2 linked regions of the Caenorhabditis elegans genome follow. The protein of the gene in region 2 purifies or fractionates together with the protein of the main gene of each other region. This does not show direct contact. Each region holds a gene or a part of one and is shown on either strand. Other genes may lie near its edges.

Evidence for each region. Proteins that work in one complex are often made in the same cells at the same time.
Region 1: the proteins of F55D12.6 (region 2) and baz-2 fractionate together in Caenorhabditis elegans (co-fractionation; one large-scale study listed by BioGRID). This does not show direct contact.

The regions. Positions count from the first base shown.
Region 1 is NC_003281.10:7,650,053-7,658,041, reverse strand, and holds baz-2 (Bromodomain adjacent to zinc finger domain protein 2), read left to right. Parts: upstream 1-2,009; 5' UTR 2,010-2,036; coding exon 2,037-2,780; intron 2,781-2,832; coding exon 2,833-3,207; intron 3,208-3,382; coding exon 3,383-3,902; intron 3,903-3,950; coding exon 3,951-4,089; intron 4,090-4,136; coding exon 4,137-5,072; intron 5,073-5,203; coding exon 5,204-5,879; intron 5,880-6,148; coding exon 6,149-6,750; intron 6,751-7,046; coding exon 7,047-7,227; 3' UTR 7,228-7,489; downstream 7,490-7,989. Other genes in the region: ZK783.7 (uncharacterized protein), read right to left, coding at 871-1,034, 1,239-1,323. UniProt on the Caenorhabditis elegans protein: Chromatin reader protein, involved in positively modulating the rate of age-related behavioral deterioration. Positively modulates the level of global trimethylated 'Lys-9' of histone H3 (H3K9me3), but not of H3K9me2 or H3K9me1.
Region 2 is NC_003279.8:7,900,319-7,903,785, reverse strand, and holds F55D12.6 (uncharacterized protein), read right to left. Parts: upstream 1,855-3,467; 5' UTR 1,787-1,854; coding exon 1,780-1,786; intron 1,733-1,779; coding exon 1,672-1,732; intron 1,449-1,671; coding exon 1,326-1,448; intron 1,279-1,325; coding exon 1,045-1,278; intron 713-1,044; coding exon 598-712; 3' UTR 592-597; downstream 1-591. Other genes in the region: Nuclear hormone receptor unc-55, read left to right, coding at 452-591, 1,869-1,996, 2,748-2,921, 2,965-3,272, 3,413-3,467.

The DNA.
Region 1 (7,989 bases), on a different chromosome or scaffold from region 2:
CGTATAGAAATTATTTGAAGTGTCGAAATTCTTCGATGCCTTTTATTGTTATATTTCAATTTTCAAAATGAGTAGGCACTGCAGTTCAACTCGTTAGTTCATTAGCCACACATGATAAATATCACACATTTGATGAGTAGCGACTTATATTTTAAATTTTTGTAGAGGCTTTTCCAACTCTAGAAGACCCCAACTTCAAAGATAGGTACCAGATTTATTCTTTTAGGATTAACACTATTTTCGAAACCTACCTCTCCGCCACATTTCTCCCATTTCCCATCCAGTGACAAATTCTTCGGATCATTACCCCGTTATCTGCACTATGAATCATTTCTTTTGTACTTAATACATTCAACTGCCGCCATTATTTGGTCAGTAAGTAATGACACGGAGGGGTCATCTTGAATTGACCTAAACGGATAGAATGAGGAGAAGGAGAGTCGTTTGTTCCAATCTCCATTTGCTTCTGATTTTTGCACTCGTTTCCCCACTGGTTTTTTTGGTAAAGTGGAAAACTTTCCAAAAATTTGTACTTTTTGAGTAATTTTGAGCATTGCTGCAAGAATCCCTAGAATTTAAAAAAACGAACAAGTAAAACAAAATTAAAATAAAACTTGTTCAAAAACAATTTTTGGTCGACTTTTGAAATTATGTCAGGATAACTGAGTTTCCACCATTTTTGAGAAATAAAAAAGTTCAAATATTTTTTAAAACTTATTTTGGCATTTTAGAAATATAGGAGCGGTTTTAAATAAGTTCCTTGCTGACTCTCTATATTTGGGTTAAAATTAAGCTTCAAACAATCTTTATAGTTATTAGAACAATTGATATCCAAAACCAACATATTAATGAAATGTAGTACACCCACAATCACATCTGTGGGATTACATGAAGAAATAGAAAAGTGAAGACACACGGGAGAGGTAGTGGTGACCATGAAAGAGTAATTGTTTTGTTTGTACAAGGCAACAGCTGGCTTCCATGATAAATTTTTAATGTTCCATGTCTTTCGTGATTCTTATTGTCTATTGTCTCTGTAAATATTTTTTGTTGATGTAAACAATATCCTATATTGGAGTAATTCAATAATTATTGAACTAAGTCTAGAAACTTAATTTTTTTAATCTCGTGTTTTTTAAAAATAATTTTATTCGATCTACAATTTTACCAAAATCACCGCTTCCCTCATATGGCATCTGAACCCTCCCTTCCTCCTACATAAATTTCTCAATACGTACCAAAATATTTCATCACCAAGTAACCGCATACACCATTCGCATTTGTCCTCCTATTCCTCCACTTGTCCTCTTCTTTACTTTTCATCCACTTTTTGCGTCTTCCAAATATCGTTCTTTACCAACTGTGAGTGAGAGAGAAGGGTACCTCCTGCCGCCTGCTGCTGTAGCCATTTCCCTCTCTCGCTGTGGTTCAGTATACTCGCTGATTGACACATCTGTCCTTTTTCATTCCCTCCGTGTTGTCCTGGTCATCGTTCAATCGTTTTCCTTCATATTCTTCCTCACCATATCTTTCTCTGCTTTGCCTTCGTTCAATTTCTGATGGTACGATTTTGTTAAAGTGTTTCACGGGACAAACTTTTGAAGTCGCGACGTTTTCTAGAACCGCATGAACTCAAATTGTCACATGCATCTAAATAGACAACAATTTTTGCTCACCTTTCTTTAAAATTTCGATATGAATTTCCATAATTTTCAAAGTTCTATTCTACTAAACTTAATAAAGACTAAGCATGCAAACCTGAACCTAAAAACTTGAACGTAACCTAAGCTATGAGCGAAAACTGTTGTCAATTTACGAATGCATATTCTCGCGACATAATGATATTACTCCTTAATAATACATAGAACACTCATGCTCACAGACCTCTAGATTCAAAGGCCTTTATGGTGTCTGACTATTTTTGTCTTCATCACACATTTTTCGAAATTCTCACTTTTTATTCAACTTCTTGACCCTTTTAACTTTCATTTAATATTGCTAAATTTCAGAATTGTACATGTAAATTCTTTCCAAAAATGAGTGATAACTCATCTAATCAGTTTCTACTTCTGCTAGCAGCTGCACAGCAACAACAGCAACAACAACTTCTACAGCAACAACTTGCAAAGATCCAGAAGGCCACTGCATCATCTCCATCGAAATCAACTAATGGAACATCAGCATCAACGTCGGCTGTCCCGTCAACTTCTGGGACATCGTCATCTCAAAATGAAGCAGCTCAGTTGCAAAATTTAGCAAAAATGCAGCAAATTCAGCAGCTGGCCCAGTTTGGAGCACTCATGGCTGCGCAGAAGAAACAACAAGAAAAAGCGGCAGCTGATAAGGCAAAGGAAAAAGAAAAGGAGAAGCAAAAGGCTGCAGCAGCAGCTGCCGCCGCCGCAGCAAAAGCCTCAGCGTCTACTTCCTCCGCATCAGCAATTCCTGGATTGTCTCCAGAAATGCTCGCAGCATGGCAACAAGCAATCCAGATGCAAGCTCTCCAACAAATGATGATGACTCCACAGAAATCTCAAATGGAAGAAGCTATCAAGAAAATGATGGATATGGCAAAGAAGAAGCCAGCTGGAGTCGCCTCAACAAGTTCAGCATCTACAAGCTCATCCACACCATCCACATCATCAGCTTCAATTACATCATCTAATAACAATGCAGCGAACAACGCTGCGAGCAATATGATGAACAATGTGATGTGGCAATTGGTGGCAGCACAAATGCAACAAAAACAGCAACAACAACAGAAGGATACTCAGAAAAAGGCGGTAAGATATTGCTTTTTATATTATTTTTGAGAAAAATGTTGAATACTTTCAGGATCAAGCGAAAAAAGCGAAAGAGCTTGCCAAACAACAACAGAAAGAGCAAGATGTGAAGAATAAGCAACAAGAGGAGATTTTGAAGTTTCTTATGGCTCAACATCAGCTGAATCATCAGAAAAAGCATGAGAAGAAGCAAGCTGACGCAGCTGCACTCGCAGCAAAAGTGCTTGCAGCTCACCGAGCAGCACTCGAATCGGACAGTCCTGAAGAAGGGAAAAAGACTAATGAAGCAATGCTTCGATTGCCTCTTCAACTTGGATGGAGGCGTCAAACATGTGTCAGAAGTATTGCTTCCGCTGGAGTTAAAGGAGATGTTTCGTATTTTGCTCCGTGCGGAAAAAAGTTGAGCACATACTCGGAAGTTGTTAGGGTAAGTCCGTTTGATGTGTATAATTCAAAATTATTGGTTTCATAACTTTCACCGAATTGTAGTTTAAAAAATGTATACTTATTTTGTAAAAAACCAGTTAAAAAAAGTTAAATTTTACTGAAACGTAAACTTATAAAATTGAAAAAAAAAAAAATGAAATCTCAACTATTTCCAGTACCTCACCAAAAATTCGATTCACTACATCACCCGTGACAATTTTCTCTTCAACACAAAATTGGTTATCGGGGAATTCATTGTTCCAAAGCAAACAGAAGCTGATGAGACTCAACAAGAACGCGAATTTGCAATGTTTACTGAAGATGACATTAACAAGGAACTTACAAGATTAAATGTTCTGAAATTCGTTCCAAAGATCCAGGCGTCCACATCCAATGGTGTTCACGAGGATGATATCAAAATGTCCAAAATTGAAGAACCCGACGAGCCATTGGATCCATCGGAGCTTAACGATGAATTCACCGAAGAGTTAGTTCATAGTCAGATTATGTCAAATGGAGTTGATGAATGCAAGATTCGGGAGAGAGAAGCTGATGATCTACTAGTAAATATCAATGATGTTCGGCATCTCCCAGATTTTTCTAGAATTGGTAATCAATGTCTGAGTTCACAAGGATTCGCTGATGCACTTATGGTTCACGAATTTGTACAAAACTTTGGTCATGTTTTAGGAATAGGTAAGCTGCTAAAACTAAAGTATGTTATTTAAAGAAGAGCATTTTCAGATCTTGAAATCGCCCCAAAACTAGAGTCGTTATGCGCAGGATTAGATGGAGATGCTAATCACGCCGAGCAAACTCTTCAATTAACTAGGCAACTATTAAGACTAGCACTTGAATTTCCTGGAATGGGAAATGAGAAAAGGTAATTTAGAAATATCATAAGATCTTGATTTTTATTTTATTTTTCAGATTTGGCCAAGGTGGAGGAGAAATGGGACTTGATCGTGAAAACTTCAGTGAAGTGATGCGTCTTTTTCTTATCGACAAAGGAAAGCGAGGAGAAGAATTATCACAGCCTCTGCTTACTTGCAACTTTTTATCGATTTCTCCAGAACAAAAAGCTTCGATTTTAGCATTTCTCTGCGATGAGCTAGTTTGTTCTCGAAATGTTGTCACTGAGATTGATAAGAACCTTGATGAAATTTCAAGATTAAAAGGAGAAAAATGGATGAGAGAGGGAAAAGCTAGAGCTTTGAGATCAGCAAGAAGTAAAAAGAAGAATGACGAGAAAGTTGTAGTTGTGAAAGAAGAACAGAATCATGAGAGTGATTCTGAACCTCCAACTAGACCGGATACTCCGAAGAAAGCCACGGTTGCACCTCCAACTGTAGTTTCTGTTTCACCTGTCTCGGCAGCTCAGCAGCAACAACGAAAGTTCACTCCAGGATTAGGCCAGTGCGAGGTTTTAACAGAACAAGAAGAATCAATGAGTCTTCAACAAATGGATTCTCTGATCGGAGATCTTCATCAAGAAGCTCAAAACATCAATCAGAAGATTCATGATACTGGTCTCAAGATCCGATCCTTCCCATTCGGAACTGACCGTTTTCATCGAAACTACTGGATGTTGGCTCACACTGATAAAGTTATCATTGAGTCACTAGCAACAACTTCAGTGAACAACCCAGCCTGCAATGCAAACGAATATGCATCAAAGGATCCACCAACTCTTGAACAGCGTGTTCCAGGAGCATGTGAGACGATTGACTTAGATGTTATTGCTTGTGTTGAGGATTTGGTTGATGATGTTGTTCTGCTAAGAGCCAAAGCTGATAAGAAAACTCGAAAAAGATACAGAAGGATTGAAAATCATATGAAGAGAGGATGGTGGACAATGCAGAATAGGTCAGTGCAGCGGGATTCTGTTTAGTTTGTGTAATTATCAGAAATTTTAAAGCTAAAATTAGAAGTGTACCCAGTGTTTTTCTTTGCATAAACATATTCCTTTGTACAAATTTTAAATTAAAATTTTTCAGAGACTGTGTAGAATCCCTTCGTTCTTGTATGCTCAGTCGCGGAATTCGTGAACGTGCTCTTCATCGTCTACTCACTAAACCATGGTTTCTAAATGAACTCAAATTCGGTACAATCACAATCGAACCAGTTGGTGAGAAATCCGACCTGGAACTGGTTCGAAGACAAGGATGGACTCGACTAAATACGGCTATCGACAAGCTTCAATGTCATTTGAAAATGTCAGATGTGTCTAAACCATTGCCTTCTATCACGCCTTTCGAGACCCAGAAGCCTATTGTGGTGCCTCCTACAATGGCATTGGCGCAAATTGTGAAGGACGATATGGCATGGAAGGTTATAGATGAGGAGGTTGATGGACAAGAACTCGATGAGACTATAATCCGACAAAAAATCATTGAAACAGCGGACATGGTGCAGCCAAAGTTTTGGAGACCCAAATTTCAAAAACTGGAGGATCAAGATACATGCCAACTATTTGAGGATTGGAAGTCTTATGTTTCAACTGAAGCACAAACAACGAGTCAGTTAATGGTAGCTCTTCAAACTCTCGAAGGAATGATTATGTGGGAAAGATCATCTCGTGAAGCACTTTGTCAGATTTGTAAGAGTATGGATGGAGATGAAATGTTGGTTTGTGATGGATGTGAGAGTGGATGCCATATGGAATGTTTTAGGGTGAGTTGTGTCTCAAATGTTGGTAAAAGTTATAATATTTAGTTAGAAAATAAATTTTTCTAGTTGAAATGTACTGGAAATAAGATAAAGGTTTCGAATAAAACATACCCTTTCTCTTATCACCGTTTAAAAAAACTGGGGGCAATTTTAATAACGATAAGTTTGTACTTTCAAGGAAAATGCCCCAAACAATTGAAAAAGAATGGAATTTTTTTGAAAAAAAACTATTGTATCATTCTATCAATATTTTCTCAACTTGTTAATTTCAGCCCCGAATGACAAAAGTACCTGAAGGTGATTGGTTCTGTCAGCGGTGCCGCGAGGAAAAATCTGGAAGACCAATGTGCATGTTCTGTAGCCGTGAGACTGGAAATCTTCATCAGTGTCAACGCTGTGCATACCATGTTCATCAAGAATGTTCACAAGATGGCCCAAAAGAGGCTATAAACCCTGAAACATTTATCTGTGGGCATTGTCAAGAAATGAAGCAAATGCGTTTTGTGAAGCGACTCATTCTTCGAAGTGAATCGGAAGAACGAGAATTGGAAGATGATAATCATGCAGAAAATGGAGAGAATACTAAAAATGGTCATATGAATGGAATGAATGGAGCAATTGCAATCGGCGTTCATAATCAACAAAACGGAGTCAAAGGAAATCTGAAGAGAAAATTGGAGGTTCCAAGTATTGGTGGTCTTCCAAAAAATATGAATAAGGAGTTGTGTCAACTCATGTTGGATGAACTCGTCGTCCAAGCAAATGCTTTGCCATTTTTGGAGCCTGTCAATCCAAAATTGGTTCCTGGATATAAAATGATTATTTCAAAACCAATGGACTTGAAGACAATTCGACAGAAGAATGAGAAACTTATGTAAGTAATTTTTGATAGGAGGGTGGGAATGTCATCAGGCCTATCCTATAAGCCTATTTTGTGTTTTTCCAAATCAATTCCAGAGTCAGGTGATTGAACAGTGTAGATTTACAAATTTCTCTGTTTGAATACGGCGTTTCCTCTATTAGTCCTATGAAAGAATCGAAAAATAGTCTTGCAGCGAGACATATCAATTTTGTTTCTTTGCGATATTTGATCTCAAGCTGAAAATGAAAATAACACAGTGACTTCGATTGCCTTTTAAACAAATAGTTAAACTGTTTGATATTTTCCAGATACGAGACTCCAGAAGATTTTGCTGAAGACATAGAGCTCATGTTCGCCAACTGTCGTCAATTCAACATTGATCACTCAGAAATTGGACGTGCTGGAATCAGTTTGCACAAGTTTTTCCAAAAACGTTGGAAGCAGCTGAAATACAACTTTACAAAAAGACTCAGACGCCTTCATCGTTAATTTCATGTTTTAATCAATTATCATCTCACCGTAACCGGTTAACTTTTTCTGTTCATAAATACAAAAATCATCCCATTGATGTTCGGGTAGTTATTTAATGTTTTTTATAATTTTGCATATTTGTGCCACATGTACAGTTGTACATTTTCTCTTTTTTAATTTATTTATCAATACCCCATCACATTTCTTTCCGTGACGGATTTCTCATGCTTTGATCTGATTATTTATTGCAATCTTGAAGAAAAATGAAAAATTTTTCAAAACAATCCTGGCGACTCATAATTATGAAGACAAAAACTCATAACCACAGTTTGAAGATGATGAATATGTTTAATTATTCGCCTCACTGAAGCTTTAGTCAGTATATTGAAAACATTGGTTTTTGTGATCGTGGTTTTCTTGTAGATCTCAAAAAATGCCTCGTTCGTATCTAACAAGGCTCTAGTAATCCTACCGTTCCCCGATACCATCCTCACACTGAACCACTAATCCACTCGCTTTTTAAATCTGCTTCTTCTTTTGGCATGATGGACTACTACAGTACCCTACCGTATTGCTACAGCCCTGACAACATCCCCACACTAACCACAACCCCATTTCTCTTCTAGAGAAAGGGGGTTCAAAGACCTACGAGAAAAGTTCAAGCTACATAAATAGCACAATTATATTTTATACATCCTTATGAGTATGTACAAACTGAAACTTTAAAATAAAGATGTGGGAAAATAAATCTTCCAAAAATCAATTCATTACAATAAAAGA
Region 2 (3,467 bases):
TGATGAGCCCGTCCGCCGCCCGGGGGTCCCAAGAAGAAAAGAGAGGTTCTCGTATCCCAGCAGGGGGTAACAGCATCTGTCATCCAAGGCACCACATCCCTGTTATTTTCATTTTCGAAACGAAACCGCAAAAAAAGAAAAAGCTGCGCCGACTGGCGAACAGATTTTGTAATTATATGTATGAATACTGTGATGACAAGAGACATTGACAAATGCGACACTTTTAGAAGTTGCTCCAAAATTTAACCTACAGTAGCCTGTATTCTTTTTCGGAAGAGTTCCATGTAGCCTGTCTCCTAATTAAAAAACATAACGAATATTTGATTTCTCGAAACGAGCTTTTGAAAATGTTGCATGAGCCTTTGAATGTGTACCGTCACTTGTGCGGGTTTAGAACATGCGTGAAAAATTCCAAAAAAATGTTTAATTTGCAAACTGTCTAAAATTTCAGATGCAGGATGGCTCATCAGGTGCTGCAAGTCTTGGAAACAGTTCCCCAGATGCAACAGATTGTGTAGTATGTGGAGATAAATCAAGTGGAAAACATTATGGACAGTTCAGTTGTGAAGGATGCAAAAGTTTCTTCAAAAGGTTTATTCATTTTTTAACTTTCTTGAGAGCAATCAGGAGCCAAACGAACAATCCGATGCTAACAAGGCTGAGGAAGACGAGGGTCAGGGTGAGAGCCAGGAAGACGACGAAGAAGCCTTCTCTGAAAATTATTTTTATTTTTAAACAAAATTGCAATAACCTAAAAGCTGCCAGTTTTCAAGTAGATTGAGCTTTATTGGAATTCAAAAATTAGAAATTGCGAACACTTAGCGCAGGCTGCGCCCTAGTTGACAAAAGTTGAATCAAAATTGTCCGACGCCTCAATAAAATTTTTGCCAACTTTTGAACCAGGATCCGTGTAGTCCTTATTAGAACTGCACTTTCACGCCTCAATTTTGATAGCTCATGTCTTGCTTATATTTAGTTTCATTACAAATTGTTGATCCTATAATAAATCAAGCAGCAAGTTATAACCAAATGCTGAGCACGTACCTTCTCTTCACTCCTTGCGCAGTTGGCTTTTTCGGTGCTGCCCCTGGTTTTGCTGTGACAGCAGCAGCTCCTGGCTTTGATATAGCAGCAGCGTCTGGGCTCGCTGCAGTAGCAGCTCCTGGGTTTGCAGCAGCTTTGGCAGCACCCCCTGGTTGTGGTGTGGAAACGTCTCCTGGTTTTGCTGAAGAAGCTGCTCCTGGTGTTGCTGTAGCATCTCTCTTGTTACGAATCAATCTGTTAATTGTGCAACTATTTAGATGATACATACGCCTATAACTTACACTCCTTTTTCTCTTTCATACTCCGGATTCTCGTCCATATGTCTCACCGATTGTCTGATGCCATTGTATGGCTTTCCGGGTTCAGTCTCAACTCCGGACAGGTCCGCTTGGCGAATTTTTTGACTTAAAATATTTGGAATCATTAGGAAGGATATTTGGATGTAGAAGACTTGTTCGAGCTTAGAACGGAAAAAGGCCATTATTCTGTTGATCTACGAGCGATTCCGCATTAAACTTAGTAAAAAAACTTTTTCCAATATAGATAAGAAAAACACTAGAAATTTCAATAAAGGTGTTCTTTGCGAAATCGATCGTAAATCGACCTCTCTTTCTCGCCTTGACTTACCCATAAACATTTATGCCCATATGAGCAGCACAGACGACGAGCAAGAGTAGGAGAAGTTTACCTGAAACCGATTGGCTGAAAGTTCTTGTGAGAGAAAAGAAAACTCACTAGACATTGCGTCCTAACAAAACTTGGAACGGCTATTCGTCGACAAAATAAGTATCGAAATGAATTAATTATCATATTTTAATCTACAGATCAATTCGACGTTCATTATCTTACACGTGTCGTGCTACGAAGAACTGTGCCATTGACGTGCAACACCGAAATCAATGCCAATATTGTCGATTGACAAAATGCATTCGAATGGGAATGAGAAAAGAAGGTGAGATGAGAACATTATTTGATTTTCTGAAAAAGTTTAATGACAAGATTTGACTTATGGGCTCTGGGAAAGTGAATATTACTATATTCAAGCAAAATTCATCAATTAATGAAGAAAGACTACGGTACCGGGTCTTGCCACGACAGAAAATGTTTTAAGTGAAAGCTGGAAAAAACGAGTGAGCGCCTTTAAGGAGCACAATAGTTTTCACATATCGCTACGGCTGGAAATAACTATACGCAACATTTGTGGCACCCTTTTTCTCATATTTTATGAAACATTTTCGGTCGTACCGATTTCTGGTAACGTAGTTTTCTTCTTCTTTAATGTATTACAAAAATAGCTTTTTTGTAGTAAAAATTTTGCCTTTGTCTACTTGAAGGCACATAGTTTTATAAAATTTGTTTCTCTTTTTCTCGTGTCGAGACCCATCCAAACAAAAATTTGAGGTATTTGTTTCACTTTTAAACTACCCAAGCCATACGCATATTCATGTCATCATACCATTTTACTGTATTTCCTCAATCCTGAATCCTGAATTTTGGCAGAAGATATCTAGGTTAATATAGAAAGCATAAATAAATTGAAGTTAAAATGAAACAGAAACATTTTCCTTTTTTTTTTTCAAATTTGTGATAATCTGAATAATGACTGAGAAACGAGCTGCCGAGAATGAGGAATTCAAGGCTATTATATGAAATATAGTGTTTGCCATTTACAACTACCACGTGGATTTTCATTCGATCTACAGGAAGAAGATCCAATGAGACTCAGACCGCAGTTTCAGCAGTTCAACGAGGTCGTCTACCTGTTACAATGCCAAGTTTGTTCCCTCCAAATATGTTTTTGCGATCTCCATTTCCATTTATGTCTGTACCATTCAATCCACTCATGACTGCTCAATTCACAAAACCATCGATTAAAGGTGAGCTGAAGAGATGATTTTGCTCTATAATTGTGATTAACAGAATCAATATTTGAATTTGCGGCTCAAACAATCTTTGCAACTGTCAACTGGGCTCGTACAAGTATGAGTAACCTTGTGAAAGGGGATCAATTGATTCTGCTCCGTCACAGCTGGACGCCCATTTTCATTTTTGCACTGGCTCAATCGAATTTCGCACTCAATCTTTCAACCCATTTAACTGCAGTTACGGCAACGGCGGCGTCAACAGAAAATGGATCTTCTTCGTTGGGTTCAAAGTCAGAAGATGAGGAAAAGAGTGAAGAAAAACCGGAAAGAGTATTTGATGAGCCACAGTTTCAGGGATTTCAGGTAATCATTTGAATTCCAGAAAAAAAATTTTGACATAAGGTTTTGAAGAGAATAAATTATTTATGTAATTTTGAAAAGTAGTCGGCTCTTTTTGACCGATTTTTCATATTTTCCGGAGCCGTGATCAAATGATTTTTCAGGCGAAAATTGATAAGATCCGTGACTTTCATTTGGATGTCGTTGAAAGCTCGTCTC